Linked DNA regions of Stegostoma tigrinum. The protein of the gene in region 1 binds, or shares a complex with, the protein of each later gene. Links are inferred from orthologs where the notes say so. Each region holds a gene or a part of one and is shown in the gene's direction. Other genes may lie near its edges. The genes, in order: taf1a, tbp, rrn3 and polr1h.

The links.
Region 2: taf1a (region 1) and tbp share a complex: the UniProt entries of both Homo sapiens proteins name them as parts of the transcription factor SL1/TIF-IB complex. The link is inferred for Stegostoma tigrinum from reciprocal best matches to the Homo sapiens genes TAF1A and TBP.
Region 3: taf1a (region 1) and rrn3 share a complex: the UniProt entries of both Homo sapiens proteins name them as parts of the pol I pre-initiation complex. The link is inferred for Stegostoma tigrinum from reciprocal best matches to the Homo sapiens genes TAF1A and RRN3.
Region 4: taf1a (region 1) and polr1h share a complex: the UniProt entries of both Homo sapiens proteins name them as parts of the pol I pre-initiation complex. The link is inferred for Stegostoma tigrinum from reciprocal best matches to the Homo sapiens genes TAF1A and POLR1H.

What each region holds. Positions count from the first base shown.
Region 1 is NC_081362.1:52,737,546-52,745,523, forward strand, and holds the start of taf1a (TATA box-binding protein-associated factor RNA polymerase I subunit A), read left to right. Parts: upstream 1-4,907; 5' UTR 4,908-5,099; intron 5,100-7,978. UniProt on the Homo sapiens protein: Component of the transcription factor SL1/TIF-IB complex, which is involved in the assembly of the PIC (pre-initiation complex) during RNA polymerase I-dependent transcription.
Region 2 is NC_081357.1:94,276,439-94,284,370, forward strand, and holds the start of tbp (TATA-box-binding protein), read left to right. Parts: upstream 1-4,773; 5' UTR 4,774-4,885; intron 4,886-7,932. UniProt on the Homo sapiens protein: The TFIID basal transcription factor complex plays a major role in the initiation of RNA polymerase II (Pol II)-dependent transcription.
Region 3 is NC_081376.1:51,353,148-51,360,610, forward strand, and holds the start of rrn3 (RNA polymerase I-specific transcription initiation factor RRN3), read left to right. Parts: upstream 1-4,258; 5' UTR 4,259-4,267; coding exon 4,268-4,360; intron 4,361-4,443; coding exon 4,444-4,500; intron 4,501-7,089; coding exon 7,090-7,179; intron 7,180-7,410; coding exon 7,411-7,463. UniProt on the Homo sapiens protein: Required for efficient transcription initiation by RNA polymerase I (Pol I). Required for the formation of the competent pre-initiation complex (PIC).
Region 4 is NC_081387.1:14,297,835-14,306,274, reverse strand, and holds the start of polr1h (DNA-directed RNA polymerase I subunit RPA12), read left to right. Parts: upstream 1-4,938; 5' UTR 4,939-5,020; coding exon 5,021-5,049; intron 5,050-8,440. Other genes in the region: pre-mRNA-splicing factor ATP-dependent RNA helicase DHX16, read left to right, coding at 1,654-1,782. UniProt on the Homo sapiens protein: Core component of RNA polymerase I (Pol I), a DNA-dependent RNA polymerase which synthesizes ribosomal RNA precursors using the four ribonucleoside triphosphates as substrates. Can mediate Pol I proofreading of the nascent RNA transcript.

The sequences.
Region 1 (7,978 bases):
CGGGGCTGGGAAGATTTTGGAATTGGTAAAGTCCATGTTTAGGCCATTGTGCTGTAGGCTCCCAAGGCAGAATATATGAGATGCTACTCCTCCAGTTTCCGAGTGGTGTCAGTGTGACACTGGAAGAGGCCCAGGATGGACATGTCGCCCAGGGAGTGGGAAGGGAAGTTGATGTGGCTCATGACTGGAAGGTGTTGTCATTTGTTGTGAACACAGCAGATGTTCTACAAAGCAGTCTCTGAGCCTCCACTTGGTCTCACCGATGTAGAGGAGGCCACATTGAGAGCAGTGGATGCAGTCGATCACATTGACGGATGTGCAGGTGAACCCCTGTGTAATGTGGAAGGTTTGTTTGGTGTCTTGAATGAAGGTGAGGGATGAAATGTAGGGGCAGGTGTAGTACACCCTGCGGTTGCAGGGAAAGGTGCTGGGTGTGGTGGGGCTAATGCGGAATGTGGAACACTCCCTGCCTCCATTCACCTATCACCATCCCACCTATTTTCCCCAGCCCTACCCCTTCTGTGCCCATTTATTTCTGAGCTCCCTTCACCCCCACCTCCACCATTTCTGAAGAAGGGTCCCGACCCGAAACCTCAACTTTCCTGCTCCCCTGATGCTGCCTGGCCTGCTGTGTTCATCCAGCTCCACGCTGTGTTATCTCTGACTCCAGCATCTGCAGTTCTAACTATTGCCTAGCAGGGAGGGAAATGTGGGTTGGTGACAGTTCAGGGCATCTCAAGGCCAGGAAGTCTGATTGCAGTATCTGTGCTTAAAATACTGTTTCGTTTATAATAATAATTGGTCCTTGTTAAAAGTTAATAACTGATAGTGTCAGTTTCATAGTTTTTAAAAATCTGTTGTAATTTATTCACCTTTGTTTTATTTTCTTGTTTATTACTTTTGCCTTTTTTATTTCGTGAGATACACACCTTTATATTTTAATAACTACAGAGATTCTTTGCCCTGAAACACCTGCCTCCTGGTTTATCACTCCACCTTCACAAACAAGTCCTATGTTAGAACCAAATACCTGGTGGATGACCCAGACTACCTGAGAGTTCTGCCAGGGTTACCGAGCACAGAAACCAGAACTCCCTACTGTTTCTCCACCAATTTCTGTTTTTTTTTGTTGTAAATTTGTGTGCTGTGCACTGAAGGCATCAACATGTCATCAGTTGCTGCCCTTGTCACTCTCGTAATCAAACTGTGATTCCGCATTTCTTGACAAGGCCAAGATGTATTGAATAGGATTTAACTGTAATATAGCTTCATTTTATATAACCTCATGTACTTTGCCAGAAAGTTTAATTTTACCGCTTTCAAAGATCCTTCCATTAAAGGGACATTACTGTTTTCCTGAAACTAAAGCAAGCTGTTTCAACTACGCTTTCTTTTCCCTCTAAATAAATTCAGTTTCTGGATCTTAAACAAGCCATGGACTTTGCAATTCAGAAAAAAAAATGTACCCAATTTAGAATTAACAGGAATAATTGATGCATGAGAAGATTTTTTTAGCCAGAAGCTCTAACATAACAGCACAATGCAATAGTGACCTCATGCCTAAATGGCACTGATGAGAACTTCTGCTTTGAGCAAATATTTTCTCTTTGCGTACCAGGGAAGTCATTTGGAACAGTGCAAGCATCTGATAGTTGAAAACAAATCCCACCTATGAGTACGTGTTGAATTTTGCAAATGTCACAGATTGCTGTGACATACTCCAATATTGACGCACATTTCATTACAGCCTACTTGAATCGTGTCCCACAATATAATGGCTTATCTCTATTTTAGGGAATTATACATGTTGTTTCTTTTGAGTGTTATGAATTTTTTTACAGTGACGTTACAGGTGAGCATTTGCAAGTGCTTTCAAGTTATCAACGAAACAACTTAATTTAAACACAGAAAAAGTTGTTATTAATAATGATAAACTGTCATGTGGAAACTGTGTATGATTGTGATTAACCAGGAACTGACATCTATTCTGTATCTATCACCCGACACTCTTTAAATGAAATGATATAACAGAAGGAGATAAACATTTTACATTTTAGTTATTTCTTACTTTTTGCAATTCTCAAAATAATTCAAATCTGTACCTTTACTGTTCAGACTTATGAAGTTCAGGTTGATGGGTAACAAGTCAATACACCAACTAACTCGCACTTTTACTCTCAACCACAGAGTTGTTGATGCTGTCATCAGTGAATACCTCCAGCTCAATTGTGCTTTTGTCTTTTCCCATTGCTGGCGTCTTATTAGGGGCCAGTCAGCACATCTGTGTCCATTTAACTTATGAGATCACTACTGCATTGTGCTGGTATATTATAACTTCGCGCCAAACCAAGCTTTTCATACATTAGTTGTGCTTACCCACTCTAAATTGGGTGCATTCTTTTCTGTACTCCAAATTCAATGGCTTGATTAAAATGCCAAAGGAGGTGCTCTGCATCCAATCGAGTGTCGAGCGGGGTCACCATGTGGCTGAAAAATTACGAGAAAGTGGAAAGTAAGTTAGAGATGACTACAAACTTAAAGATTGCTGTTCTATCAATCTTTCTTTATTTGTTATGGAAGGCTTAAAAGAAGTCGATGAATTGGTGTCAAAAAACATGTCAACATTGCCAACTTCACCAGCAGAATCTGCTGTTCCACACAGCCATGATCTCATTGGCTGATTTTCCTTTGACCTTCAAAACTGCTTTAAAACATGCCCAAACCTTTTGCTGTCCAAGTAATGCAGTGGGCAGTGAAAGTTCCCAACATTTGGGTCCTTAAAATGCTCATATTCGTGTCAATTGCACACTTAAAAATGGTGGTCTGGGCTCCGATTTACAAGCCCAGTTGCCTTCAGTGCTGACTACCTGACACTGGTGTCTGAAATCACATTGTCTACCTGCTGTGGGCACTATGTTTTACTTTACTGCATGGTTGGGTGGGGGAGAGGGGAAGTGTGGAAACGAGAAATGGGAAGAATTCTCCAAAGAAGCTGTTGTAGATGCAGGAAATTATCTGGTTGTTACTGGATAGATACAAGTGGATTCAGGTAAGGGCAGTCTTACTCAGACACATAACAAAGCTGAGATGTTAGAGGGGGATGGTAGGGCCAAACATGTTAGAAGTTGCAGATAGGTGGAGAATGATGAAGATGGTAATGCCACACGTTGAGGGAGCTAGGGCTTTTTTTATTGGAATGAAGAAAGATGAGGTGACTTGGTAGAGGTGTACAAGATGATGAGGATAGATAGAGTGGATAGTCAGAGACCATTCCCCAGGGCAGAAATGACTATTACGAGGGGGCATAATTTTAAGGTGATTGAAGGAAGGTATGGGGAGATGCCAGACGTAGATTCTCCCCACAGCGTGGTGGGCATGTGGAATGTGCTGCCAGCAGTGGTAGTGGAGTCAGATACTTTAGAGGCTTTTAAGCGACTCTTAGATAGGCACATGGAAGATAGTAGAATGTAGGGTATATAAGGTAGATTGGTCTTAGTAGGACAACAGGTCGGCACAACATCGTGGGCTGAACAGCCTGTAATGTGCTGTCCTGTTCTATGTTCTATGTCACTTTGATAACGTCCATTTCAGTGCTGCAGCTGGGGGAAAATCCTGCTTAAGGAGCTACTAGAGATTATTGATCATCAAGTCACAAAAAATGGTCTCAGAAACACGAGCTCACAAGCAATTCAAGGACTTTGGAAATGACATAGAGGATGAAAGTGGAACTGTGGCTTGCAAGAAGGAGTCATGCTTTAAATATTTTGGGGAGCTCAGTCTTCAATGGAAGTTGGTAGAATATTTTGTGTCATTCAAGTTGACAGTGTAGACATCATTCTTTCCCTGAGCAAACTTAATCTTTGCCAAAATTTCAGCAGAGGGAAAATTGAATCCTGTTTCTTTGGTTGAACAAGAGTTTGTTTGGAAACACACATACTGAAAATATTGCTAGCTAGTTTGCTCTCATGGTTTACTTTCACTGTCTTTATTATATTTTTAGTCCTCCTTTGCTGGATTCTGAATTTATCCCAATCTTTGCGGCTATAACTGACAACACTCGCTGGCAACAAAGCAGTGAGCACATTTCAGTGGAAAACATGGTGTGAGGGCTAAGGCAGGCACGAAGACAGGAAGATTTTCAGTGAAAAAGTTGCAATAACTGAGGTTCTCAACGAAAGAGAAGCTGCCAGAACAGGCAAGCAGACAAAGATGTGTTCTGGTGATAATGATATGGAGGTACGTGGTAAGTCTGAAGACTGCGGAATTTCTTGCCTTACGTGACATACCGCACTTAAAAGCAGAACATTGCGGATGCTGGAAATCTGCAAAGTGCTGTAAAAACTCACAGAAATACTCATCAGGTTAAGCACCTTTCGTCTTCTAAAATGTTGCCAGTCCGACTGAGTTGTTGCACGCTTTGGATTATATTCAGTCGTAGAGTTCAGTATTTTGTTTCACGTTGTCTGTGCAAGTGGTTTAACACGTCTTTACCTGCCAAGTCTTATTGGTTTGATCTTGAATCGCCTTTTATTCTTGAAAATAAACATTGGTTTATTTCTACAAGTTCAACTAGATAAGCAGTAAATTCCAAAAAAAAACCCACTATGCATAATCGTCATGTTTGTTTGATGGTAAAATGTTTGTTTGAATGGAATTTGAACACATCACGATAACTGTAAATGTTAAATACATTAAAGCGGTGACTATGTACCGGTTGTTATTCTGAAAATATTTTTACTGAGCTTTATCCCAGATCACGAATAAATACTTCCAAGTCACTACCCCCTGTTACTCAATGGACAAAATCGATACTCCCGAATGCGGATGGCTGCCTTCAGAGAAAATGCAGCAGATGTTCAACATGACCCCGGAAGGAGTTTTAGATTGTCAGCACGTGGGAAGTAAAACTGTCCTTTTCCTATGATTGGAACGTTACCCTGGGAATGGAACGTTGCCCGGATGGGGAACAGAATCCTGAGCGTGCCCAGGCAACGGGGTAAATGATGTGGAGGAGATTGTGCTGAACGTTTGGTCACTACTGAGGAAAATCTTTTGGTGTTATAACTGCTTAATCAGAGGAGGGGAAAAGTGATCAGAAGGTGCGTGGAGACCTTCATTGGAAGTTCTTGAAAAAAAACTTAGTATTTGTTTAGCTTTTGAAAACTTCGTGATTTTTATGCTTTCGTTTTAAAAAAAACTAAAACCGAAATAGCGAAGAAATGATGGTGGTATTCAGCCGTAGAGTTCAGTATTTCAAGTTGTCTAGAAAGTAGTTAGTTGTAGAAGGGGTTTAATTTTTTTGCGTATTAATACCATCACTAAAAGGTCATTAGATGCAAAAAAAACAGGAAATTGCATTTGTTTATACTCCCATCACCTTATAGTCTTTCTTCACTTCTAATTTATTCATCCCTGTACTACTTCATATATTTATCTCACCTCCCCTAATTGCATCATTGCCAGCCATCTCTGATAAAATGAGTCTTGTGGAGCACTGGTTGCCTGTAGGCTAGAAGGCCTCTCTCTCTCTTTCCTGTGAAAGTACTTGAAGCCAAATAAAGTTGATTGCGTTATCCTGTCAGTTGCTGTAAGCTGTTGCATTACAGCAATAAGTCAGAGATTTTTTAATTATGAACAAGCCGCTCTGTGTCTCTTGCAAAGTAGAAGAACCTGAAGGAAAAATTCAGAGAACTAAAGGCTTTTGGAAACAAAGTTAACAATGCATCAAATCCTAGGGACTGATGCTTTGAACTGATTGCCACAAGTTTTCTTCATTCCACTGATGATACTTTTTTGTTTCATATTTGTTTTGGTGCTTTTTGAAGGGGGTTAAAAGTTTAGCTAGTAGTGCTAGCCTGTGGTTCATATTTGTTTATCTGTTGCTGGAATCAATCCATTTGTGATTATATAGTATTTCTTGTTAAGTGGAGAAACCGACTGTGTGTTTTCTGTTAATCTGAGTCTGCAAGACAGATAAACTGGGGACTTAAGTAAAAGCGAGTTTTGAGAAGATTTATAGCTCAGGTTGAGGTTCTGGATGTGAGTTTGCTCACTGAGCTGGAAGGTTAATTTTCAGACGTTTCGTCACTTTTTTTTATTTGAAAAAATATACTTTATTCATAAGATGTACAAAAAATAAAACACTTATACACCTACCCAGTCATGCAAGCCGCTCCGGGTTACCCAGGGGGTACGTACACCAACTAAAGGAAAAAAACAAACAAAGAAGAAACAAAAAACAAAGCAAAGAAAATACCCCGGCAGTCGTCACCCCGCACAGTCCCAGTTGGCCCCCTGACCAGTTGGGGAAAGCGCCAGCTGGGCCCAGTTACCAGATAGGGTTCCTTTTTCTATTCAGGACGAGGGGTTTCACACCGTGGTCTTTCCCCACCGCGCATTGGCGGCGGCGGCTGCCTCAAGCTTTAGTGCGTCCTTCAGCACGTAGTCTTGGACCTTGGAGTGCGCCAGTCTGCAACATTCGGTCGGGGCCAGTTCTTTCAGCTGGCAGACCAAGTTGAGGGCAGACCAAAGAGCGTCTTTCACCGTATTGATGGTCCTCCAGGTGCAGATGATGTTGGTCTCGGTGTGCGTCCCGGGAAACAGCCCGTAGAGCACGGAGTCCCGTGTCACGGAGCTGCTCGGGACGAACCTCGGCAAATACCACTGCATCCCCCTCCAGACCTCCTGCGCATAGGCACACTCCAGAAGGAGGTGATCAACAGTCTCGTCCGCCCCGCAGCCATCTTGAGGGCAGCGTGCAGTGGCGCAGAGATTCCAGGCATGCATAAAGGATCTCACTGGCAGAGCCCCTCTCACCACCAGCCAAGCAATGTCCTTGTGCTTGTTTGAAAGTTCTGGCGATGAGGCATTCTGCCAAATGACTTTGGCAGTCTGCGTGGGGAACCACACGACGGGATCCATCCTCTCCTTTTCCCGAAGAGTCTCGAGGATACTACGTGCTGACCACTGCCTGACGGCCTTGTGGTCAAAGGTGTTTCCTTTCAAAAATTTCTCCACGAAGGACAGGTGGTACGGAACGGTCCAACTACTGGGAGCGTTCCGCGGCAACGAGGCCAGGCCCATCCTTCGCAACACCGGGGACAGGTAGAACCTCAGTAAGTAGTGACACTTGGTGTTTGCGTACTAAGGATCTGCGCACAGCTTGATGCAGCCGCAGACAAAGGTAGCCATCAGGGCGAGGGTGGCGTTTGGTACGTCCTTTCCCCCGTTTTCCAGGTCTTTGTACATGGTGTCCCTACGGACCCGGTCCATCCTCGACCCCCAAATGAAGTGGAAGATGGCCCGGGTGACCGCAGCGGCGCAGGTCCAGGGAATAGGCCAGGCCTGCGCCACATACAACAGTACCGAAAGCCCCTCGCACCTGACAACCAGGTTCTTACCAGTGATGGAGAGGGACCGGAGCGCCCACCTGCCCAGCTTCGTGATACGCTCCTCCCAAGTCTTAGTGCACGCCCCAGCTCCGCCAAACCAAACACCCAGCACCTTCAGGTAGTCTGTCCTGACGGTGAAGGGGATGAAGGAGCGGTCGCCCCAGTTCCCGAAGAACATGCCCTCGCTCTTACGCCGATTGACTTTGACACTCGAGGCCAGTTCAAACTGGCCGCAGATGTCCAATAGCCTACTCACTGACCGACGATCGGTGCAGAAGACGGCGACGTCGTCCATGTACAGGGAGGTCTTGACCTGAAGGCCTCCGCTGCCTGGGATAGTCACGCCCTTCAGGCTCACGTCCTTCCTGATGGATGCGGCGAAGGGCTCCATACAGCACAGGAACAAGGCAGGAGAGAGCGGTCAGCCCTGCCTGACTCCAGATCTGACGGGAAAACTGTCCGATTTCCACCCGTTGATCGAGACTGCGCTAACAATGTTGGTGTAGAGCAGCCGGATCCAATTGCGGATGCCCTCCCCGAACCCCAAATTGGAGAGGACGTCCCTCATGTAAGCATGAGAGACCCTG
Region 2 (7,932 bases), on another chromosome or scaffold:
TGTCCATTTCAAGCACCCGACTCCCACAGCTACCTAGAATACACCTCCTCCCACCCACCCTCCTGCAAAAATTCCATCCCCTATTCCCAATTCCTCCTCCTCCGCCACATCTGCTCCCAGGATGAGGCATTCCACTCTCGCACATTCCAGACGTCCAAGTTCAAGGACCGCAACATTCCCCCCCGCAGTGGTCGAGAACGCCCTTGACCGCGTCTCCCGCATTTCCCGCAACACATCCCTCACACCCTGCCCCTGCCACAACCGCCCCAAGAGGATCCCCCTCGTTCTCACACACCTCCCCAACCTCCGGATACAACGCATCATCCCCCGACACTTTCGCCGTCTACAATCCGACCCCACCACCCAAGACATCTCTATGTCTGCTTCTTGATCATTAGGCCAACTGGGTGTTTGAAGAAGTCCACAATTGACTTTTGAGGTACTGACAAGAGTTTTTCGTGACAGCAATAGTCCCTCACAGCTACAGCGAAGGTTTTACAAGGATATACAAGCTGAAGAGGAAGACCTGATTCCCATATTTCTGGAGCTGGTAAAGTTGTTCAATTATATTATTCTTCTGGATCTCAGTTAAATTGACAGGCAGCTGAAGAACTGCCAAGCAAAAGTATTGAGGGATAGAAACATCCAGATGAAGGTCAGGAGGCTTAATAGTGACAAAACTCAATTACCTTTCTTTGAAATGCAGAACACTTCAACCAGATCGTGGGACATTAGTCTTCCAAGCAAGTGACTACTATCAAGGAGGTGACTTAGCTCAAGCAGATGTAAATCACAGGCTGAAGAGGCAGGGGAACAGATTTCTGCACAGCAAGTATAGATTCAGCTCTTATCCTGCTTCCACTGTATGCATTGTGGCTGATCCTGCCCCAGGGTGTTGGATGCTCCAAAGGGGTTGTGAAAATGTGACAGGACTGGGCATTTCAAATGAGTCTAAACAAAAAGAGGCACCACTGCTGTTAAGACAGGGAACCCATCCAGAGCAACAGCCTATGATTCTCAAAAGATGTTAAAAACTGGTTGGGCCTTCCATCAAGAGCCAGGCGAGCAAATGGGGGCAAGGTTCCTTCAGGAATCTTATGTAGAAATACCACAGACATGCTCTACAGTGAGAAATTTGGCAAGATAGAAGTGCTGTGCCTAACTGACACAGGAATGGTGATGTCAAATGTTGATCACGAACTTTTCTGTGACCATCTTGCTGAGAAATGTTGCTATCTCTTCTTTCATCCAGGTGTCTACTTCACACGAGTCCGACAATCTCTATCAAGCTCTCCCTACCTGCCCTCAATCTCTCGTTTCATAGCTTGGATATTCTGGTAGTTCATGACCTGATCAATACTCGTGTGGAAATAAGGAAATTGAGCATGTCCATGGTCAAATATGTTAAAAACTTTCCAGGTATTTTTGGAAAGCATGTGACTGCAATGAGTAGATTAAAGTTAGCAGACGGGGCGCAGGATTCTTCAACTCTGCTTTGCACACTTAAGATGTAATAGCCTGTACAGGACCACAGAAGGTTGTAGTATAGGGGATTGGGTTGTCCTACCTACTTGCACCATCGCTGTTCTTGAATTGTCAGACTAGCATCTCCAACTGGTGAACATCAGGCCATTGATTACAGTTTTACAAAGACTCCTTTATGCCACACAATCTAATACTTCTTTGATGTCAGGGACACCACCTCACCTCTGTAATTCAGCTCCTTTGTTCGTATTTGGACCAAGACTGCAATGAGGCCTGGAAATCCATAATCCTGGCAGAAGCCAAGCAGAGAATCTGTGAGCTAGTTTTGACTAAATAGATGCTACCTGTTAATATGATTTTTAATCCTTCTTTCATTCACTTTGCTGATGATAGAAAGCTTGCTGATTGGGCAGTAACTGGCTGGATTGATTTTCACCTTTTTTTGTGAACAGGACATACTTTGCTCAAGCAATGTTTCAAATTGTTGAGCGGATGGCTGCATCACAGCTATACCAGAGCTTAGCTAAAATTAGTTTTGCAGCAGAAATTAGTACTGCAGCCATGAACAGACTCCACATCCAGTATGCTCAGTTGTTTCTTGATACTATGTACAAATTAGGCCACTCAGCATGCTCTGCCATTCAAGGCAAAACTTATGTCCTCCCAAAGGAAATATCATTAGTTTTCCATTAGCTAACCTCTGTTAGGAGGTGATGGCATAGTGGCAATTTCGCGAGTCATGATATATAAATGGTCACTAATATTTTGAGGACATGTGTTCAAATCCCATTATGGCAGATGAATGAAATTTGAATTCAATAAAAAGCTAGCTTGACAGCAAGAAATGAAGCTGCCGCTGATTGCTGTAAAAATCCATCTGATTCACTCATGCCCTTTTGGGAAGGAAAACTATCATTATCTGACCCAGCCTACATGTGATTTCAGACCATGAGACTGACTCTTAACTGCCATCTGGGCAATTAGGGATACAAAACAAATGCTGGACTAGCCAGCAACACCTACATCCTAGGAATGATTGCATGATAAGCAGCACAAATCAACATAGATTGGGTGCATTGCGAACATACTTCCAATACTAATTGCAAAACAATGGATTCAAATAGTAGAGTAGTTGTGTAGTTTAAGCTTGACTCGGTAGTTTGCAATCATTTCTGAATCAGAAGTTATGGGTCCCAATCCCACTCGAATTTTAACATACAAATCATGCTGATGCTTCACTGCAATACAGAAGAACTACTATTCACCTGTAGATGGAAAGGGATATCCCAACAATGAGAAGAGGTAACATATAAGTACAAGCTGATTCTTATAAACCTGTGACTATATGAATACTTATTCACAAACCTTGCCTGCAGATATTGTGTTCTAGCAACTGCCACTTCAAATGGGCTAAACTTGCCACAGGCCAACAGGAACTCAGGGCTGCTTTAGCTTAAAAGAGAAAGTCAGAAGTCACATGACACGGGGTTATAGATTAGATTAGATTCCCTACAGTATGGAAACAGGCCCTTCGGCCCAACAGGTCCACACCGCCCCTTGAAGCATCCCACCCAGACCCATCCCCCTATAACCCGCACACCCCTGAACACTACAGGCAATTTAGCATGGCCAATCCACCTACCTTGCACATCTTTTGGATTGTGGGAGGAAACCGGAGCACCCGGAGGAAACCCACGCAGACATGGGGAGAATGTGCAAACTCCACACAGACAGTTACCTGAGACTGGAATTGAACCCGGGTCCCTGGCGCTGTGAGGCTGTTATAGTCCAACAGGTTTTTACAAAATCACAAGCTTTCAGATTGCTGCTCCTTTGTCAGGCAAAGTGCCAATTACAGTCAAAGTTTTACAGTCAGAAAGAGACCATTTGGCCTACACGCCTGTCATCATCCACCTATCTACTGAAGGCCCATTTCCCAGCAGTTGGTCATTCATGTTTTAAGTGTTCATCCCAACATTTCTTAAATGTTGTCAGGGTTCCTGCTTCTACCACCCTTTCTAGCAGCAAGTTAGATACCCTCCACCTATTAATGTACCTTATAATTTTGGACACTACAATCAGATCTCTCTTCAGCCTTCTCAGCTCTAAGGGAAACAACCCTAAACCGATTTCTCTTCGTAGCTGAAATGTTGTAGGCTGGGCAACGTTCTGGTGCATCTCCTTTGCACTCTCTCTGGTGCAATCACGTCCTCCCCATAGTGTGGCAGCCAGTAATGCACACTATACTCCTGCGGCCTAGCTTCATATACTGTTCCATCATAACTTCTGTTCTTAAATATTCAATGCCTTGACAAATAAAAGCAAGTATCCCATATACCTCTTTAAACACCTTATCCACTGGCTCTGCTGTTTCAACAATCAGTGGACATTCCAAGCTGTACTTCCCTTACTTTGTTAGTCCTTCCAGATAAATCATCTCACATTTAGCCAGATTGAATTCTATTTGTCACTGATATCCTTCAACAGCCTCGGCTTTCCTCTTTGCTACTTACTGCACCAATTCCTGAAGGATGCCCTTTAGGGAAGGAAACTGCCATCATTACCTGGTCTGGCCACAGCAACGTCACTGACTCTGGGCAATAAATGCTGCCTAGCCAGCGACGCCCTCAACCCGTGAATGAATAAAGATATATAAAATTATATAGATAACACAGTGTGGGGCTGGAGGAATACAGCAGGGCAGGCAGCATCAGAGGAACATGAAAGCTGACGTTTCGGGTGGGGACCCTTCTTCACAAATGTGTTATCTCAGACCCCAGCATCGGCAGTTCTTACTATCTCTATGAAATTATGTACCCGTGTCCAAACTCCGCACTCCCCCGGCGATTACCGAGAGCGTCCATCCTAGGCGTTCACCACTTGCCACATTAACTCAACGACAAACAGATTCACGAATACGGATCGAATAACTCTCTTGCCTCGTCGGTCAAACATATTATTAACAAAAAAAGTGCTGAAATGAAACAAAAAAACTTTGCTGTAAATGCCTAGATGTTACTCCCCCACAGAGAATAAATCTGTACTGTAAAACTAGGAGACCTTACTGAAACCCCGGAAGGAGATTCGATGAAAAAAAAGCTTTCGCATTCATCGAAGCCCCTCAGATGCTGCGAGTTTAAAGGAAAGAAATCCTCTTCCAAACGGTCTCATCCCAGGTCCATTCAATAACGGTTAGGCTTGGTGAAACATCCTCCCCCCACCCCGGTAACCAAAAGCAGCCTCTTCCCGCCTCCTCGCGAGCGAGAATAGGTCACGTGATTGTGCGCGCTCCCACGCAGTGGCGGCTGGGAATGGCTGGCCCACGGTTCCAAGCACCAGCTGGAAGTGACGGGGTTGCCGGGTGATCGAGCGCGAGCAGCAGGGGACATTGAGTTTCTTGGTGAGTCAGTGGCCGATGGAGAGGGACAATGTCTCCTCAAAACAGCTCTTACAGTTTCCAGGCTGGGGAATCTGAGGACAGCTGTTGTCGTTGCCTGTGCTATAGCTTGGGCCTGTACCGGCTGTTGCGTGCAGTCCCCCGGTGTTCAGATGGATTACGAAAGAGTCTGGTTGAACGTGGGGGTTGTTGGAGACTGGAGGAATCGACTGGTCCCGCCGGGGTTGATGGTGTTCTCAAGAGAGCTGTGTGTAAACAAATGGTGCATGTTTGTATTTATCGCTCCCTCTCGACCTCTGTCCTATTCTTTCCCACCATCTCTCTCACCACTTTCCCACAACCCCGTTCCCACCCCCCACCATCTCCAGGCCACCCAATTTTCCATCTCCTTTTTCACCAACCTCGGTGATATCATCCATTTTAGACTCTGTTTCCCTCCTCTTTATTTCATTTTCTTGTACCCATTGCAGCTTCCCTGTTGATGCTCTCCTCAATGACATTCTATTTGGCATCCGCTATCTCAGCCACCTGCTCCTTTGGGACCCTCCCTCTAACAGAGGGTGGCACGGTGGCTCACTGGTTAACACTGCAGCCTCACAGCGCCAGGGACCTGGGTTCAATTCCAGCCTTGGGCGACTGTCTGTGTGGGGTTTGCACGTTCTCCGTGTCTGCGTGGGTTTCCTCCGGGCACTCCGGTTTCCTCCCACAGTCCAAAGATATGCAGGCTAGGTGGATCGGCCATGCTAAAATTGCCCGTAGTGTTCGGGGTGTGTGAGTTATACAGGGAGGGATCTGGGTGGGATGCTTCAAGGGGTGGTGTGGACTTGTTGGGCTGAAGGGCCTGTTTCGATGCTGTAGGGAATCTAATCTCACCAATCCCTCACTCTTGACATCCCCACTCCTCATTGACATCCACTGCCTCTCACCACCAACCCACCTTTCTGATACCAACTGCCTCACCTTAGCTTCTATGGTACCCACTGGCCCATTCTACTTGATGTCACCTTGGCACCCAACATCTTGTAACCATTATTGTTTATTTTGTAAAGCTATGATAGTGAGTAGAGTGGAGTTTTTTATTATATGTTTTATTGAGATTGGTCTCTAGATTAAACTGTAATAATATAAAACATAGGTACTAAGTTAGCCTTGAGCAGTTTTTTTAAGGGCAGTTAAGAATGTGTGCTATTTTCTGGGTCTGTGGATAGTCAAGATGCAAAGATGGCCTTTGGAAGACATGGTCTTCCTGTCAGATGTGGGAGATTAGGGAGTGTTTCCATGTAACTGATGACTTTGTTTGCAGAAAGTGTGCCTGGTTGTGAATCCTGTTGGATCGCATGGATTAGTTGGAGTGGCAGTTAGAGGCAATGAGGAACTAACGGAAGCTAAGGAATATGATAGATGGCAGCTTGTAAGAAGGGAGAAAAACCACAGAAACAGTCAGGTACATGGGTTACCCACCAGGAAAGATAGGAAGTGAGGCATGACGTCCTGGAGTCTTCTGTGGCTATCCCCATCTCAAATAAGTATGCTGTTTTAGAAAATGTAGGGGGTGATGGATTCACAGGGGAATGTGGCGTGGACAGCCAGGTTTCTGGTACAGAGGTTGGCTTTAATGTAAGGAGGAGTACACCAGGTTCCAAGCAAAGTAATAGGGAACTGTGTAGTCAGAAGCACAGATGGAAATTTGTGGCCAACAGTGAGAAATCTGAATGCTGTGTTGCCTCCCTGGTGCAGGAATCAAGGATATCTTGGAGAATGTGCAGAATGTTCTCAAAGGGGAGAGAGGACAGCAGGAGGTTCCTGTACACGTGAGAACTAACAACATAAGGGGAAAGAATGAGATTCTGAGGAGAGTATATAAGATATTAGGCAGCAACTTGAAAAGGAGGTCCTTGAGGGTAATATCTGGATTACTGCTGGTACCACTGGCTAGTGAGCGTACAGGAAGATGGAGCAGATGAATCCATGGCTGAGGATCTGGCACGGGGTGAAGGATTGACATTTTTGGATCATTTAAATGTCTTCTAGGGTGGAAATGACCAGATTAAGAAGGGTGGATTGCACCTGGATTGGAAGGGGTTAATATACTGGCGTGGGATTTACTAGAGCTGCTTGGGAGCATTTATACTAGTGGAGGGAGGGAAGAGGCAGGAGCAATGTAGAGAATGAGGTAGGACTGATAAATTAAACAGCATTTATTTCAATGCAAGAGCCCTAATAGGTAAGGCAGATGAACTCCATGCGAACGTGGGACTGAGATATAGCTATTACAGAGACGTGGCTTGGGACTGGACACGATTACTAACTTAATGTTCCAGGGTATAGATGATATAGGAAGGGATAGAAGGGTGATGCAAGAGAGGAGGGGGAGTGGAGTTTTTGATTAGGAATAATATTTACAGCTGTACTTAGGGAGAATATTCCTGGGAGTCCATGCAGGGAAGCTAGTGGGTGGGACTGAGAAATAAGAAAGAGATGATCACCTTATTGGTATTGTACTATAAACCCCAATAGTCAGCGGGAAATTGAGAAACAAATTTGTAAGGAGATCTCCGTTATCTGTAAGAATAATGGGGTGGTTATGGTAGGGGATTTTAACTTTCCAAGCATAGATTGGGACTGCTGTGGTGTTAAAGGCTTGGATGAAGAGGAATTTCTTAAGTGTATACATGAAGATTTTCTGGTGCAGTATGTGGATGGACCTGCTCTTGGGAAATAAGGTAGGACTAGTTACTAAGATTTCAGTGGTGGAGCACTTTAGGCCACTGACATTATTCCGTTTAGTTTTAAAATAGTGATGGAATAGGATAGACCGGCTTTAAAAGTTAAAGGTCAAAATTGACCTTCCTCCAATTTAGAAGGTATGAGGCAAGACTCCCAAAAGTTGACTGGGGTGTTTGCAGGTCAAGGGATGGCTGGAAAATAGGAAGCCTTCAAAAATGTGATAACAAGAGTCCCGGGACAGTATGACTAGAGAAATTGAGGTTTTGGTCAGGAAAAAGAAGGAAGCATATATAGCAGAGATTGAGTGAATGAGAGATAACAAG
Region 3 (7,463 bases), on another chromosome or scaffold:
GGGGGGGTGGAGGGGAGAGGGGGCGGGGGGGGTGGAGGGGAGAGGGGGCGGGGGGGTGGAGGGGAGGGGGAGAGGGGGGCGGGGGGCGTGGAGGGGAGGGGGGCGGGGGGGGTGGAGGGGAGGGGGAGGCGGGACGGGGGGCGGGGGGGGTGGAGGGGAGGGGAGAGGGGGGCGGGGGAGGTGGAGGGGAGAGGGAGACGGGGGGCGTGGAGGGGAGGGGGAGACGGGGGGCGTGGAGGGGAGGGGGAGACGGGGGGCGTGGAGGGAGGGGGAGACGGGGGGGGCGGAGGGGAGGGGGAGAGGGAGACGGGGGGCGGAGGGGAGGGGGAGACGGGGGAGGGCGACGAAAGGGAGGGGGAGGGGGAGGGTGAGACGGGGGAGGGGGAGAGGGAGACGGGGGGGTGGAGGGGAGGGGGAGACGGCGGGGAGGGCGACGGAAGGGAGGGGGAGGTTGAGACGTGGGGGGTGGAGGGGAGGGGGAGACGGGGGGGAGGGCGACGGGAGGGGGAGAGGGAGACGGGGGTGGGGTGGAGGGGAGGGGGAGAGGGAGACGGGGGGCGGGGGGCGGGGGGGGAGGGGGAGGGGGGTGGAGGGGAGGGGGGCGGGGGGGTGGAGGGGAGGGGGGAGAGGGAGACGGGGGCGGGGGGGGTGGAGGGGCGGGGGAGAGGGAGACGGGGGGCGGGGGGGGTGGAGGGGCGGGGGAGAGGGAGACGGGGGGCGGGGGGGGTGGAGGGGCGGGGGAGAGGGAGACGGGGGGCGGGGGGGGTGGAGAGGGAGACGGGGGGCGGAGGGGGGTGGAGAGGGAGACGGGGGGCGGGGGGGGTGGAGGGGAGGGGGAGAGGGAGACGGGGGGCGGGGGGGGGTGGAGGGGAGGGGGAGAGGGAGACGGGGGGCGGGGGGGGGTGGAGGGGAGGGAGAGAGGGAGACGGGGGGTGGAGGGGTGGAGGGGAGGGGGAGAGGGAGACGGGGGCGGGGGGGGGTGGAGGGGAGGGGGAGAGGGAGACGGGGGGCGGGGGGGGGTGGAGGGGAGGGGGAGAGGGAGACGGGGGGCGGGGGGGGGTGGAGGGGAGGGGGAGAGGGAGACGGGGGGCGGGGGGGGTGGAGGGGAGAGGGGGGGGTGGAGGGGAGGGGGAGAGGGGGGCGGGGGGCGTGGAGGGGAGGGGGGCGGGGGGGGGGTGGAGGGGAGGGGGAGGCGGGACGGGGGGCGGGGGGGGTGGAGGGGAGGGGGAGAGGGGGGCGGGGGAGGTGGAGGGGAGAGGGAGACGGGGGCGTGGAGGGGAGGGGGAGACGGGGGGCGTGGAGGGGAGGGGGAGACGGGGGGGGGTGGAGGGGAGGGGGAGAGGGAGACGGGGGGCGGAGGGGGAGACGGGGGGGAGGGCGACGAAAGGGAGGGGGAGGGTGAGACGGGGGAGGGGGAGAGGGAGACGGGGGGGTGGAGGGGAGGGGGAGACGGCGGGGAGGGCGACGGAAGGGAGGGGGAGGTTGAGACGTGGGGGGTGGAGGGGAGGGGGAGACGGGGGGGAGGGCGACGGGAGGGGGAGAGGGAGACGGGGGTTGGAGGGAGGGGGAGACGGGGGGGGAGGGCGACGGAAGGGAGGGGGAGGGTGAGACGGGGGGGTGGAGGGGAGAGGGAGGGGAGACGGAGGGCAGGGCGACGGAAGGGAGGGGGAGGGGGAGAGGGAGATGGGGGCGGTGGAGGGGAGGGGGAGACGTGGGGGGGGGGAGGGTGAGACGTGGAGGGGGAGGGGGGGGAGGGTGAGACGTGGAGGGGGGGAGGGTGAGACGTGGAGGGGAGGGGGAGACGTGACGGGGGGGGAGGGGTGACGGAGGGGAGGGGGAGGGGTCACGGAGGGGAGGGGGAGACGTGACGGGGGGGGAGGGGAGGGGGAGACGTGACGGGGGGGAGGGGTGACGGAGGGGAGGGGGAGGGGAGACGTGACGGGGGGTGAGGGGTGACGGAGGGGAGGGGAGGGGTGACGGAGGGGAGGGGGAGGGGTGACGGGGGGGAGGGGGAGACGTGACGGAGGGGGAGACGTGACGGGGGGGGAGAGGGGGACGTGACGGGGGGGAGAGGGGACGTGACGGGGGGGGGAGAGGGGGACGTGACGGGGGGGGGAGAGGGGGACGTGACGGTGGGGGAGAGGGGGACGTGACGGTGGGGGAGAGGGGGACGTGACGGTGGGGGAAAGGGGACGTGACGGGGGGGAGAGGGGGACGTGACGGGGGTGGAGGGGTGACGGGGGGGAGAGGGGGGGGTGACGGGGGTGGAGGGGTGACGGGGGGGAGAGGGGGACGTGACGGGGGTGGAGGGGTGACGGGGGGGAGAGGGGGACGTGACGGGGGTGGAGGGGTGACGGAGGGGAGGGGGAGACGTGACAGGGGGACGTGACGGGGGGAGGGGGAGACGTGACGGGGGGAGAGGGGGACGTGACGGGGGGGGAGGGGTGACGGAGGGGGTCGTGACAGGGGGGAGGGGTGATGGAGGCGAGTGGGAGCCTGATGGCGGGGGGTCGGGGTTCTAAAGGGAAGACGGATATCGGGGTGGTGGAGGTAATGAGATGGTGGCCGCGGGTAGGAGATGTAGCGGGGGGGGGGTGGAAAGGGAAGAGGGATGCCGGGGTGGGGGGGGAGGAGATGTTGGTGGAGGAGGGGGTGGTTGGGGGGGGAGGAGCTTGTGGGATTGAGCGGTAGACAGGGGAGGGAACAGGGATGGAGATGGAGGGTAGGGGAAAGGGAAGGGAGGGGCGGAGACAGAGGGTTGAGGAGGAGGGCTGATGGAGGGAAGGAGATGGACTGCGAAGTGACGTCACAATGGGTAGTGGACGGGAGTGGAGGAGGACATGGGGTATACAAGTAGAGATGAGGGGATGGGGAGATAGTGAGATTGTGGGGGTTGGTGGGGAGAAGGTGGTCCTAGTCTCAGAAGGTGGCAAAGAAGTCCCACGCAGCCTAACAGTCGAAGATAAATTTTGGGGAAGGATGCTATGTCAAATTCACCAAAAAGGTTGAGAAGAATGAGTGTGGAAGGGCACCTTTGTCAGTCAAGGGATGAAATTTGTGATTTTGGTTGGAGCTGTTTCAGACTTGTTCCAGAGTTTGAATACCTGACAAGAAAGTTGCCAGTATGAAAGTAATCAAAAATAGTAACAAGTGTGGTGAGGTCAGATCCCGTTCTGAAATGTGACTTAATCATAATTCGCTTTTTATTTAATAAGGTGGTTTATCATTGAAACATAAGCAGGCAAAGCTGATCAAATTTTAAAAATTAAACAAGTTTACTATGCAAAATAAAAGATAAAATTTTACATCCAACTTTAAAGATTTCAAAACAGAAAAGAACACTATTTCATCTCAAACACCAGAGAGAATTCCTGTCTCAATCACATCTATGGGTTTGACTTAATTATTGCTTTCAATTCCTGGTCTTGATCATCTGATAGCTTCTTCCTTGAGTAATCACGCAGAGCTTAGATTTCCTTAGTTTCAGGGTCTGCCAAATACCTCCGATCCTATTTTTCTAACTGAAACGCTTACGCTAAGGTAACTTATTTCCTAACTTTTCCGAACTAATTCCTTTCTCCCAGAGAAACCGTTTCATACATCTGCCTTCATTCAGGATTTCTGCGAACAGAAACCAAAAGCTTCCAAGTGTTGGTGTTTTTGCCTAAGCCAATACAAAAAGCTCCTGACTCTTCTAACAGAAAGCATGCTGATGCTCTTCAGTGTGTACTCTACCGCTGGTCACACTTTCCCAATGCAAACAAATTTGCCTGAACACTTCAGGATGTCTGTCTCTTATGCTAGTTTTTTTTGAAAAAAGCATGACTTCAGAAATGCTGACAAGTTAATCACTAAGGCATGTAAACACACAGACCAAAATCCATTAGTTCAAGATCCAAACTCAAATAATAATAACATCTCACACCTTACGTCACAGAGGGTGATTACATGTATGTTGAGAGAGAATGGCACGTGACAGGAAGCTAAGTTTAGAGGGATAGTATTAACGATGTGGGAGCAACAGGCGGGGATTGAATTTGTGAATTGGCAGGTCCTGATAGAAGCAGAAAGAGTGGGATCAAGATAGAAGAGAAGACCTGGAGGTGCTGGACTTTGGAATGGATTTTGTTAAGGGAGACTTGGCAGAAGGATCAAGGGTGGATTCTTTTGAAGACAGTACGATAACTGATTTAAAAGAGATTACAGAGGGATACATTTACAATGTATAAATAATTCTTCCTATGTTCCTGAAGGCTTCCATTTGACAATGTTGGGAGAAAGTGAGTTCTTCAGTTCCCCACCAAGGAAAGCTGTCAGATTTGGTGGAACGGTTACAGAAATCTTAAAGAAATATAAACAGGTAAAATAAGTTAAACAGGTAAATGTGTAAGAAATTTTCTCACCTTTCTGTAAATTTGATTCAAAAGAGTTTTTTCCCCCTAGGGAGATACTGTGGATTATGATTTGCTGATGACACAACTGGATGATCCAGAAATAAAGGTAATCAACAAATTGTTTAACATGCATCTCATTTGTGCAGCGTTTTCCTGTTATACATATGGAACTTTACAGTTTTAACAATTTGCATTTAATCTGTTAGGTTTGTACTCTGTAATAACATAGCATTTTTAATTTTATGAATATGGTGGATCTGTTTCTCTATATGTACCTACTCCAGATTAGCATGTGCAAGGATTATTCCAATTAGTGTTGGATGAAAGGGGTAGTGTGAGTCTAGATGTTAGGCATAATCTTGACTCTGGAATGAAACAGTGTGAAACCTGAGTTTAGCACAAATTTGAAGTGTAAATGTACACTAGATCAGTCTGTCCCAATGCTAACTGAAATAAATTTTGAGCAGAGGTAATGTGAACTGCAGATGCTGGAGAATCCAAGATAACAAAGTGTGAAGCTGGATGAACACAGCAGGCCCAGCAGCATCTCAAGAGCACAAAAGCTGACGTTTCGGGCCCAGACCCGAAACGTCAGCTTTTGTGCTGCTGAGATGCTGCTTGGCCTGCTGTGTTCATCCAGCTTCACACTTCGTTATCTTAAATTTTGAGCTGCTTTCATCTAGCTTAGCTAGGACCCCAGGGCAACAACATTGACTCACTCGCAATTAGCTGATGCACAACACATGTCTTCAAACTTATTTGTGAAAATTTCCCGGAAATGCTGGCATTCTCACACCACCACACTTCAACTGCTGTCTTGGTCCCAAAGGCCGTGAATCCTTGCCTCCAAAAGGCAATATCATCCACCTAAATTAATGTATGTAATACAAATATAACAGCAGACACATTAGGAAAAGCTCCATGATCTTCTGATGCTATTTGCTCACCACCAATCCATGTTTGGGCAAACAATGACTAAATATAAAATGACTGTTTTAAATTCTCTCATAAAGTAATGTTAATGATTAGGAATGGGAATGATGGACTCAGTGAATAGTGCCCCTGCTTCTCAGCTAGAAGCTACAGGTTCAGGCCACTCCAAGACTTGTTGGTCACAGGAATGTTCGTGATATGAAGGAAGTACATCCACAGTGTGGTTGAACAGGTTGTTGATCAGCCTGGTAATCCTTCTAACACTTCTTCACAATTCTGAAAAATGGGGGGGAAAAAGTCAGTGTCTGAAACAAGCAAACAGACTTTTCAAAAATTCTTCAGCCTTTTGGTGAAATTATACACTGAGGTAATTTTCACTGATCGAGTTACGAACTCCTGGCCTAAAACAGTTTTTCATGTTAATTATAATATCGAATCTAAGTGTGTGAACGGAGATTTAATATGATAACCAGCATCAGCATTGTTACTTAAAATCAATGTTTTGGTCATTTGAAGAAAAATCTGGTCAAAATTTAATTTTGATAGGATTGAAACCTTTCATCATTTAACTGATTCTGTTTCCTTGTAAATTTGTTCTATAGTACGAAGTTTTTGTTTGTATTAAGTTACTTATTTTCTTTTTACTGTATTTCTGTTGTTTCCACACTCATGTTTGAGATGCAGCTTTGTGGATTCACGTTCCACTTAATCTAGATTGTTTCTCCATTGCAGTACTGATGGAGAGCTGCACTGTCAGAGGTGTAACTATTTGGATGAAATGTTAAACCAAGGCTAAGGCAACTTTCTAAGGCGGACATAAACAAATCCAGAACCCAGTTTTGAAGAAGAATTGGGGTTATCCTTGGTGCAAAGACAGAAATTGCTGGAGAATTTCAGCAGCATCTGTAGAGAGAAAAGCGGAGTTAACATTTTGAGTTCAATAACTTTTAAACAGTCCTGTTGTATAAATGCAAATCTGCTTGTCTCTCTTTTCTTAATTTTCTTAACAGAAGTTTTTCTGATTTAGTGTTAAACTGTGGCCCTGTCTGCCTGCTCTGATGATTCAGGAAGAAAGATTCCATGGCAATACTTAGAGTCATGAAGGCTTACAGCATGGAAACAGGCCCTTTGGCCCAATTTGTCCGTGCTGCCCAGTTTACACAATTAATCTAATTCCATTTGCCTGTGTTTGGTCCATATCCCTTCAAACCTATCCTATCCGTGTAATGTTCAAATATTTCTTAAATGACATAACTGTACTCGACTCCATCACTACCTCTAGCAGCCTGTTCCATACACTCATCATACTGTGGGTGAAACAAAATTTGCCCTCTGGACCCATTTATATCTCTCCGTGTCACCTTTTGCCCTCTAGTTTTAGATTCCCTACCACATTTTATTGACCTCCATAAGGTCATTCCTCAGTCTGCAACGCTCCAGGGAAATAAAAACCCAATCTGTCCCACCTCTCTTTGTAACTCAAACCAAGTCCAGACACATCCAGGTAAATCCAGAAAATTCCCCTGGGATCCTGCACACATTTTCTCCCTTGACCACTGCCATCAACAAGGAGATTAGTTGATCCAACTTTATTTGTTTATTTTGCAGTGCACATTGGCGGTGCCATTCATCTACTAAGAGTGACTGCATTTCAAAGCAGTTCTTTATTCTTAGCATGTCATAATGTTTTAACTAAATAGAGTTCACTTAAACTTCAAGGTGTAATAATTATATTGAAGTGCTTATTTCTTTTCTCCCCCAGGATGCTCAAATAATCAACTGGCTTCAGGAATTTCGTGATGCTGTCGCACAATTAACAAAGGATTTTGAACACGTTGTTAGCAAAATACTGGTTAGCTTCTTTGAATTTTTATACACATGAAGATTGGTCAGAAAATGTTTGCTATGTTTTATTGTTGAATAACTCTTATCAATGGGTTTGATTTTTCTTAAATCTGCCATTTTTATATTGACACATGGCAAGTTACAGATGTTAATAAGATATTTAAGTAAGTCCTGAAGGTTTAAACACATTTTTAAGTTATATATAAAAACCATCAGATTTTTACAAAAATAATTTCAGAAGCTGCCGTGGTTGTCCCGAAGCCCAGTGGTAATAGAGGAATACTTGGCCTT
Region 4 (8,440 bases), on another chromosome or scaffold:
TATGATGCAGGAAAACTCCCCTTCTTCAGGTTTGTGGCCACGTGGAACTTTTTATACCAGAGCTCTAAAGAAATAGGAGTGACTGTGGGCCACCTTTGACCTGCATTATCGTTCAGTGGGAGCGTCGATGCCTCCCATATCCTTTAACTCCCTGATCGATCAAAAATTCCCATGATTCCAGCCTCAAATGGATTCAGTGATGAAGTGTCCATTGCCCTGTGGGATAGCGAATTCCAAATATTCACAGTCCTTTGAATGAAGTCACTTCTTGTCGCCTCTGTCCTTAAAAAAAAGACGATTGGCCCCATGTATCGAGACTGCGTCCCCTTGTTTTGGGTTTCCCCATGTGGGAGAATCACGCTCGTACACTTCAGTGAGACACATTCCCTGGAGGCAACTCCCAGTAAAAGGGGGGACCTACAGCGGCAACCATTACTCTTGGAAGAGATTGTCAACCAGGATTGTATGACCGAGTCCATAGAGTGGGGCATGAGCCTGTGACTTTCCTGACTCTCTCACCAATACCGAGTGCTTGTCAACTGTGGACAATGCGCCACCTAATGATAGAGCCTGGCACTGCACCAACACTCAGTCAGACAGCACCAAAACAGACCCTTCAGTCCAACCAGTTCTTACCGATAAGTTTCCCCAAACTAAACCAGTACCTGTTGCCTGCGTTTGGCCCATATTGCTCTTAAACCTTTAACTAATCATGTATCTGTCCAGCATCTTTTAAATGCTGTAACTGTACCTGCTTCTACCACTTCCTGGAACCACCCTCTGTGTGAAAAGATTATCCCACATGTCCCTTTTAAAATTTTCTCCTCTCACCTTAAAAATATGCCCCCTAGTATTGAAAAATATCCCACCCTAGGGAAAAGACCTTTGCTCTTCACCTTATCTATGTCACTCATGATTTTGTAAACCTCTCTGAGCTCACCCCTCAACCTCCTATGTTCATGATAGAAGTCCCAGCCCATCCACCCTCTCCTTACAACTTAAACCTTCCAGTTCCGGTAACATCCTTATAAACATTTCCTGAACCCTCTCCAGCTTAATAATATCCTTCCTTATAACAGGGCGACCAGAACTGGACACGTTGTTCCAAAACTGACCTCACCAACATCCTGTACAACATCAATATGTTATCCCAAATCCTATACTCAGTGGTCTGCACAGTGAAGGCAAGCAAGCTGTGAATGCCTTATCAATCACCCTGTCCACATGTGACGCAACTTTCAGAAAATTATGCCCCTGAACTCCAAGGTGTCTCTGCTCGACAACACTATCCAAGGCCCTACCATTAACTGGTTAAATCTTGCCCTTGTTTATTTTACTAAAATGCAATATCTCGCATTCGTTCAAATTAAACTCCTTCTGCCATTTCCCAGCCCACTGGCCCAATTGATCAAGATCTCTCTGTAATCTTGGATAACTTTCACAGTCCAAAACCACCACTTCTGGAGTAATCTGCAAACCGTGTTTCCTATATTCTGATCTGTGCTGCTTTTTCTGTTCGGACTGTCAGCTCTACTCCTCTGTCTTTAGCCATCCACATGATGGCTTCCAGAGTGTCCCATCCATCAGCTGAGCCGTGGTGACCTTAAGACTCCATGCAGCACCCCTCAATCTCTCTGTCTGTCTGTCTCTCAGGTGATTGAGATCGACAGCAACTGGCTGTTGGAGGTGGCCCCGCATTATTACAAATCGAAGGAGCTGCAGGATGCGGCCAGCAAGAAGATGCCCAAGAAAGTGGGCAAGACCCGGGAGGAGCTCGGCTGAGGGTCCTGGGTGCGTATCAGACCTGCCATGCCAGGGGCATGAGCCATGCTGGCTGTGCACCCACTCTCCACAGCAGGGTGACAGCCCATCACCAGCATTCACTGCGATTGTGTCGGATTAAATGGAGCAAGTGCTGCCTGAGGGAAGGCCTTGAATCCCCTCGCATCGTGCAGGCACCTCGATGCCAAATTCAGATTGAATTGGAACCACTACCCACCCCCTCCCCGTTCCGTTCCCGGGAGGAATGTTACTCTGCGTTTTGGCCAGCAGCGAGATAGGTTTGGGTGAGAGCGGTGCCTCTCAGTTCATGATTGCCTTTGCCATTGCAGTGCCGTGACCACGGTGGATCTGAGGCACCGGGATCAATAACCAAGAAGGACAACACTCATGATTTCGACGCTGAAGCCACTTGTGTTGTCTGTAGCAGGAGCCTGGACACTCAGGAGCAGTGGCTCATTGTCAGAATTGCACGCATGAGGTCTGTACAGCACAAGCTGTCTGCGGCAGTCCGGACCTGCCGCTTGTTTCAAGTAAAGTTTTGGCACTTTTTTATACAAGAAGAAATACAGTTTGTCTTTCTGTCAGAGCTCTTGCTTTTTTGTTTGTCAGCATTTGTAATCTGTAAAATAGCGGTGCCAAGTGCTCCAGTCCCTTAATTTCCACGGCATCCTCTTGTCAGAGTATCTTTGTGACAGGACTGGGGATCTTTGTCACAGCCATCTATATTCAGAGTCTCACAGGTAGACCTCGTCACAGGGCCCTCACAGCCGACTGTACTCGGGGAATCTCACTGATGGACCCTATCACTGGGTCCCTGCGACAGTCTATATTCAGTATCTCACCGATGGACCCTATCACTGGGTCCCTGCGACAGTCTATATTCAGTATCTCACCGATGGACCTTATCACTGGGTCCCTGCGACAGTCTATATTCAGTGTCTCACCGATGGACCCTATCACTGGGTCCCTGCGACAGTCTATATTCAGTGTCTCACCGATGGACCCTATCACTGGGTCCCTGCGACAGTCTATATTCAGTATCTCACCGATGGACCCTATCACTGGGTCCCTGTGACAGTCTATATTCAGTGTCTCACCGATGGACCCTATCACTGGGTCCCTGCGACAGTCTATATTCAGTATCTCACCGATAGACCCTATCACTGGGTCCCTGCGACAGTCTATATTCAGTGTCTCACCGATGGACCCTATCACTGGGTCCCTGTGACAGTCGATATTCAGTGTCTCACCGATGGACCCTATCACTGGGTCCCTGTGACAGTCTATATTCAGTGTCTCACCGATGGACCCTATCACTGGGTCCCTGCGACAGTCTATATTCAGTATCTCACCGATGGACCCTATCACTGGGTCCCTGTGACAGTCGATATTCAGTGTCTCACCGATGGACCCTATCACTGGGTCCCTGTGACAGTCTATATTCAGTGTCTCACCGATGGACCCTATCACTGGGTCCCTGCGACAGTCTATATTCAGTATCTCACCGATGGACCCTATCACTGGGTCCCTGCGACAGTCTATATTCAGTATCTCACCGATGGACCCTATCACTGGGTCCCTGCGACAGTCTATATTCAGTGTCTCACCGATGGACCCTATCACTGGGTCCCTGTGACAGTCTATATTCAGTGTCTCACCGATGGACCCTATCACTGGGTCCCTGCGACAGTCTATATTCAGTGTCTCACCGATGGACCCTATCACTGGGTCCCTGCGACAGTCTATATTCAGTATCTCACCGATGGACCCTATCACTGGGTCCCTGTGACAGTCGATATTCAGTATCTCACCGATGGACCCTATCACTGGGTCCCTGTGACAGTCGATATTCAGTATCTCACCGATGGACCCTATCACTGGGTCCCTGTGACAGTCTATATTCAGTGTCTCACCGATGGACCCTATCACTGGGTCCCTGCGACAGTCTATATTCAGTGTCTCACCGATGGACCCTATCACTGGGTCCCTGCGACAGTCTATATTCAGTATCTCACCGATGGACCCTATCACTGGGTCCCTGTGACAGTCGATATTCAGTATCTCACCGATGGACCCTATCACTGGGTCCCTGTGACAGTCGATATTCAGTGTCTCACCGATGGGCCCTATCACTGGGTCCCTGCGACAGTCTATATTCAGTGTCTCACCGATGGACCCTATCACTGGGTCCCTGTGACAGTCGATATTCAGTATCTCACCGATGGACCCTATCACTGGGTCCCTGTGACAGTCTATATTCAGTGTCTCACCGATGGACCCTATCACTGGGTCCCTCTGGCAGGATCCTGTCACGATATCCCACTAATGTGAGTGGGAAACCTTCTCCTCTCTGTATCGAATACAGGAGAAGCAAGGCGGGAGGTACAGCTGAAGGATGCTGCTGAAGCGGGAATCGAACCCATGGTGAGGGTCAGTTATTCTGAGCCAAGTGCGATCCAACTGAGCTGCCTGAACCCCGCCCCCCTCCCCCGAAACACCAAGTCAGTGCATGATGAAGAGGTTCCTCCCCTCCACGGGGCGGCGCCGTCGCCATCGAGCGAAGATGTCCCTCCACTTCGTCAGGCGGCGCTGTCGGCGGAGGTTCCTCCCTTCTGTTTGTGTTGTGGGAGGATGGCTGGTCCGACCCGAGCAAGCAACCGGGCTGGAGGGTTCCTCTCCACCGCCGGGAGGCACTGTCCCGGGAGGTTCCAACTCACGCCGCCGCCATAACCGGGCTGGAGGTTTCCTCCTCAACACGGGGAGGCGCTGCCCCTGGAGGTTCAAACACCCACCTCCGCCATAACCGGGCTGGCGGTTTCCTCCTCACCGCCGGGAGGCGCTGAACGTGGAGGATCCAACCCCCGCCGCCGCCATAAACGGCCTGGCTGTTCCCCGGCTCCGCAGGGAGGCGGTGCCCCAGGAGGTCCAATCCCCTCATCGTCGCCGTGACCGGGTTGGCGGTACATCCCCACCACCGGGAGGCGGTGCCCCTGGAGGCGCCATCCCCTCATCGTCGCCGTGACCGGGTTGGCGGTACCTCCCCACCGCCGGGAGGCGCTGCTGGTGGCGGTAGCCTCCCCCCCCTACGCGTATGCGGCCGGAGGGCGATGTTTCCTGTTTCCAAGCCGGGAGCCTGAGCGCTAGGCCGCAGGTGATTCTGGACGTCGAGGCACGTTTACAGTTTCAGGGCCAGGCAGTAGCGGTCGGAGACGAACGGTGCGATTTTGTCTTAAATGGGATGGATGTCGTCGGAGACAGGAAAAAAAGGTTGCATTTGTGTAGCGCCTTTCGCAATTAAGAGCATTTGGAAGCACTTTCTGGATTCTGGAAGGATCGCAGACGAATGGGGATAAGTGGGATCTAACCAACAGTAAAAGTTAGGGCGAGAAACCAGGATTGATGCCGTTGTGTCGGATAATCAGTCCTCATCGGGAAGAATGGCGCAGCACGCTCGATGGGCTGAATGGCCTCCTGCTGCTGCTGTCCTTTCTATCTCTGTGCAAACTGTTTGTCTTTGTGAAGGGAGATTATTGTCGGTCAGGAAATCCGGGGGGTGCGGGGTGCTCCCCACTCCCCTCCCCGTGATCTTCATAAAAACCTCCTCTGTATCCACCCAAAAAGATTAACATCCCATTTAAATACTGACCCTCGGACAGTGCAGCACTCCCTCAGTACTGACCCTCTGACAGTGCGGCACTCCCTCAGTACTGACCCTCTGACAGTGCAGCACTCCCTCAGTACTGACCCTCTGACAGTGCGGCACTCCCTCAGTACTGACCCTCTGACAGTGCGGCACTCCCTCAGTACTGACCCTCTGACAGTGCGGCACTCCCTCAGTACTGACCCTCTGACAGTGCGGCACTCCCTCAGTACTGACCCTCTGACAGTGCGGCACTCCCTCAGTACTGACCCTCTGACAGTGCAGCACTCCCTCAGTACTGACCCTCTGACAGTGCGGCACTCCCTCAGTACTGACCCTCTGACAGTGTGGCACTCCCTCAGTACTGACCCTCTGACAGTGCGGCACTCCCTCAGTACTGACCCTCTGACAGTGCAGCACTCCCTCAGTACTGACCCTCTGACAGTGCGGCACTCCCTCAGTACTGACCCTCTGACAGTGCGGCACTCCCTCAGTACTGACCCTCTGACAGTGCGGCACTCCCTCAGTACTGACCCTCTGACAGTGCGGCACTCCCTCAGTACTGACCCTCTGACAGTGCGGCACTCCCTCAGTACTGACCCTCTGACAGTGCGGCACTCCCTCAGTACTGACCCTCTGACAGTGCGGCACTCCCTCAGTACTGACCCTCTGACAGTGCAGCACTCCCTCAGTACTGACCCTCTGACAGTGCGGCACTCCCTCAGTACTGACCCTCTGACAGTGCGGCACTCCCTCAGTACTGACCCTCTGACAGTGCGGCACTCCCTCAGTACTGACCCTCTGACAGTGCGGCACTCCCTCAGTACTGACCCTCTGACAGTGTGACACTCCCTCAGTACTGACCCTCTGACAGTGCGGCACTCCCTCAGTACTGACCCTCTGACAGTGCGGCACTCCCTCAGTACTGTCCCTCTGACAGTGCGGCACTCCCTCAGTACTGACCCTCTGACAGTGCAGCACTCCCTCAGTACTGACCCTCTGACAGTGCAGCACTCCCTCAGTACTGACCCTCTGACAGTGCGGCACTCCCTCAGTACTGATCCTCTGACAGTGCGGCACTCCCTCAGTACTGACCCTCTGACAGTGCGGCACTCCCTCAGTACTGTCCTTCTGACAGTGCAGCACTCCCTCAGTACTGACCCTCGGACAGTGCAGCACTCCCTCAGTACTGACCCTCTGACAGTGCGGCACTCCCTCAATACTGACCCTCTGACAGTGCGGCACTCCCTCAGTACTGATCCTCTGACAGTGCGGCACTCCCTCAGTACTGACCCTCTGACAGTGCGGCACTCCCTCAGTACTGACCCTCTGACAGTGCGGCACTCCCTCAATACTGACCCTCTGACAGTGCAGCACTCCCTCAGCACTGACCCTCTGACAGTGCGACACTCCCTCAGTACTGTCCCTCTGACAGTGCAGCACTCCCTCAGTACTGACCCTCGGACAGTGCGGCGCTCCCTCAGTACTGTCCCTCTGACAGTGCAGCACTCCCTCAGTACTGACCCTCGGACAGTGCAGCACTCCCTCAGTACTGACCCTCTGACAGTGCGGCACTCCCTCAATACTGACCCTCTGACAGTGCGGCACTCCCTCAGTACTGATCCTCTGACAGTGCGGCACTCCCTCAGTACTGACCCTCTGACAGTGCGGCACTCCCTCAGTACTGACCCTCTGACAGTGCGGCACTCCCTCAATACTGACCCTCTGACAGTGCAGCACTCCCTCAGCACTGACCCTCTGACAGTGCGACACTCCCTCAGTACTGACCCTCCGCCAGTGCGGCACTCCCTCAGTACAGACCCTCTGACAGTGCAGCACTCCCTCAGTACTGACCCTCTGACAGTGTGGCACTCCCTCAGTACTGACCCTCCGACAGTGCGACACTCCCTCAGTACTGACCCTCTGACAGTGCGGCGCTCCCTCAGTACTGACCCTCTGACAGTGCAGCACTCCCTCAGTACTGACCCTCTGGCAGCGCGGTCCACCTTCAGTACTGACCCTCTGACAGTGCAGCACTCCCTCTATACTGACCCTCTGACAGTGCGGCACTCCCTCAGTACTGACCCTCCGACAGTGCGGCACTCCCTCAGTACTGACCCTCCGAAGTGCGGCACTCCCTCAGTACTGACCCTCCGACAGTGCGGCACTCCCTCAGTACTGACCCTCCGACAGTGCGGCACTCCCTCAGTACTGACCCTCCGACAGTGCGGCACTCCCTCAGTACTGACCCTCCGACAGTGCGGCACTCCCTCAGTACTGACCCTCCGACAGTGCGGCACTCCCTCAGTACTGACCCTCCGACAGTGCGGCACTCCCTCAGTACTGACCCTCCGACAGTGCGGCACTCCCTCAGTACTGACCCTCCGACAGTGCGGCACTCCCTCAGTACTGACCCTCCGACAGTGCGGCACTCCCTCAGCTTTGGCCCTCTGACAGTGCGACACTCCCTCAGTACTGACCCTCTGACAGTGCGACACTCCCTCAGTACTGACCCTCCGACAGTGCGGCACTCCCTCAGTACTGCCCCTCTGACAGTGCGACACTCCCTCAGTACTGACCCTCTGACAGAGCGGCACTCCCTCAGTACTGACCCTCCGACAGTGCGGCACTCCCTGAGCTCTGGCCCTCTGCCAGTGCGACACTCCCTCAGCACTGACCCTCTGACAGTGCGACACTCCCTCAGTACTGACCCTCTGACAGTGCGGCACTCCCTCAGTACTGACCCTCCGACAGTGCGGCACTCCCTCAGTACTGACCCTCCGACAGTGCGGCACTCCCTCAATCCTGACCCTCCGGCAGTGCGGCGCTCCCTCAGTCTGTTTCAGCCTTCAATATACTCAGTTGCTCAGATCTGACAGCCATCTGCAATAAATAGATTCACTGCTGTCTGAGAGGACAAATTTCTCAGTGAGCCCACACTCTGAGATTATTCCATCTAATTCTGGACTTCCCCTGACAGTGAAGCGATCTCTCCACATCTACAACGCTGTGCCCTTT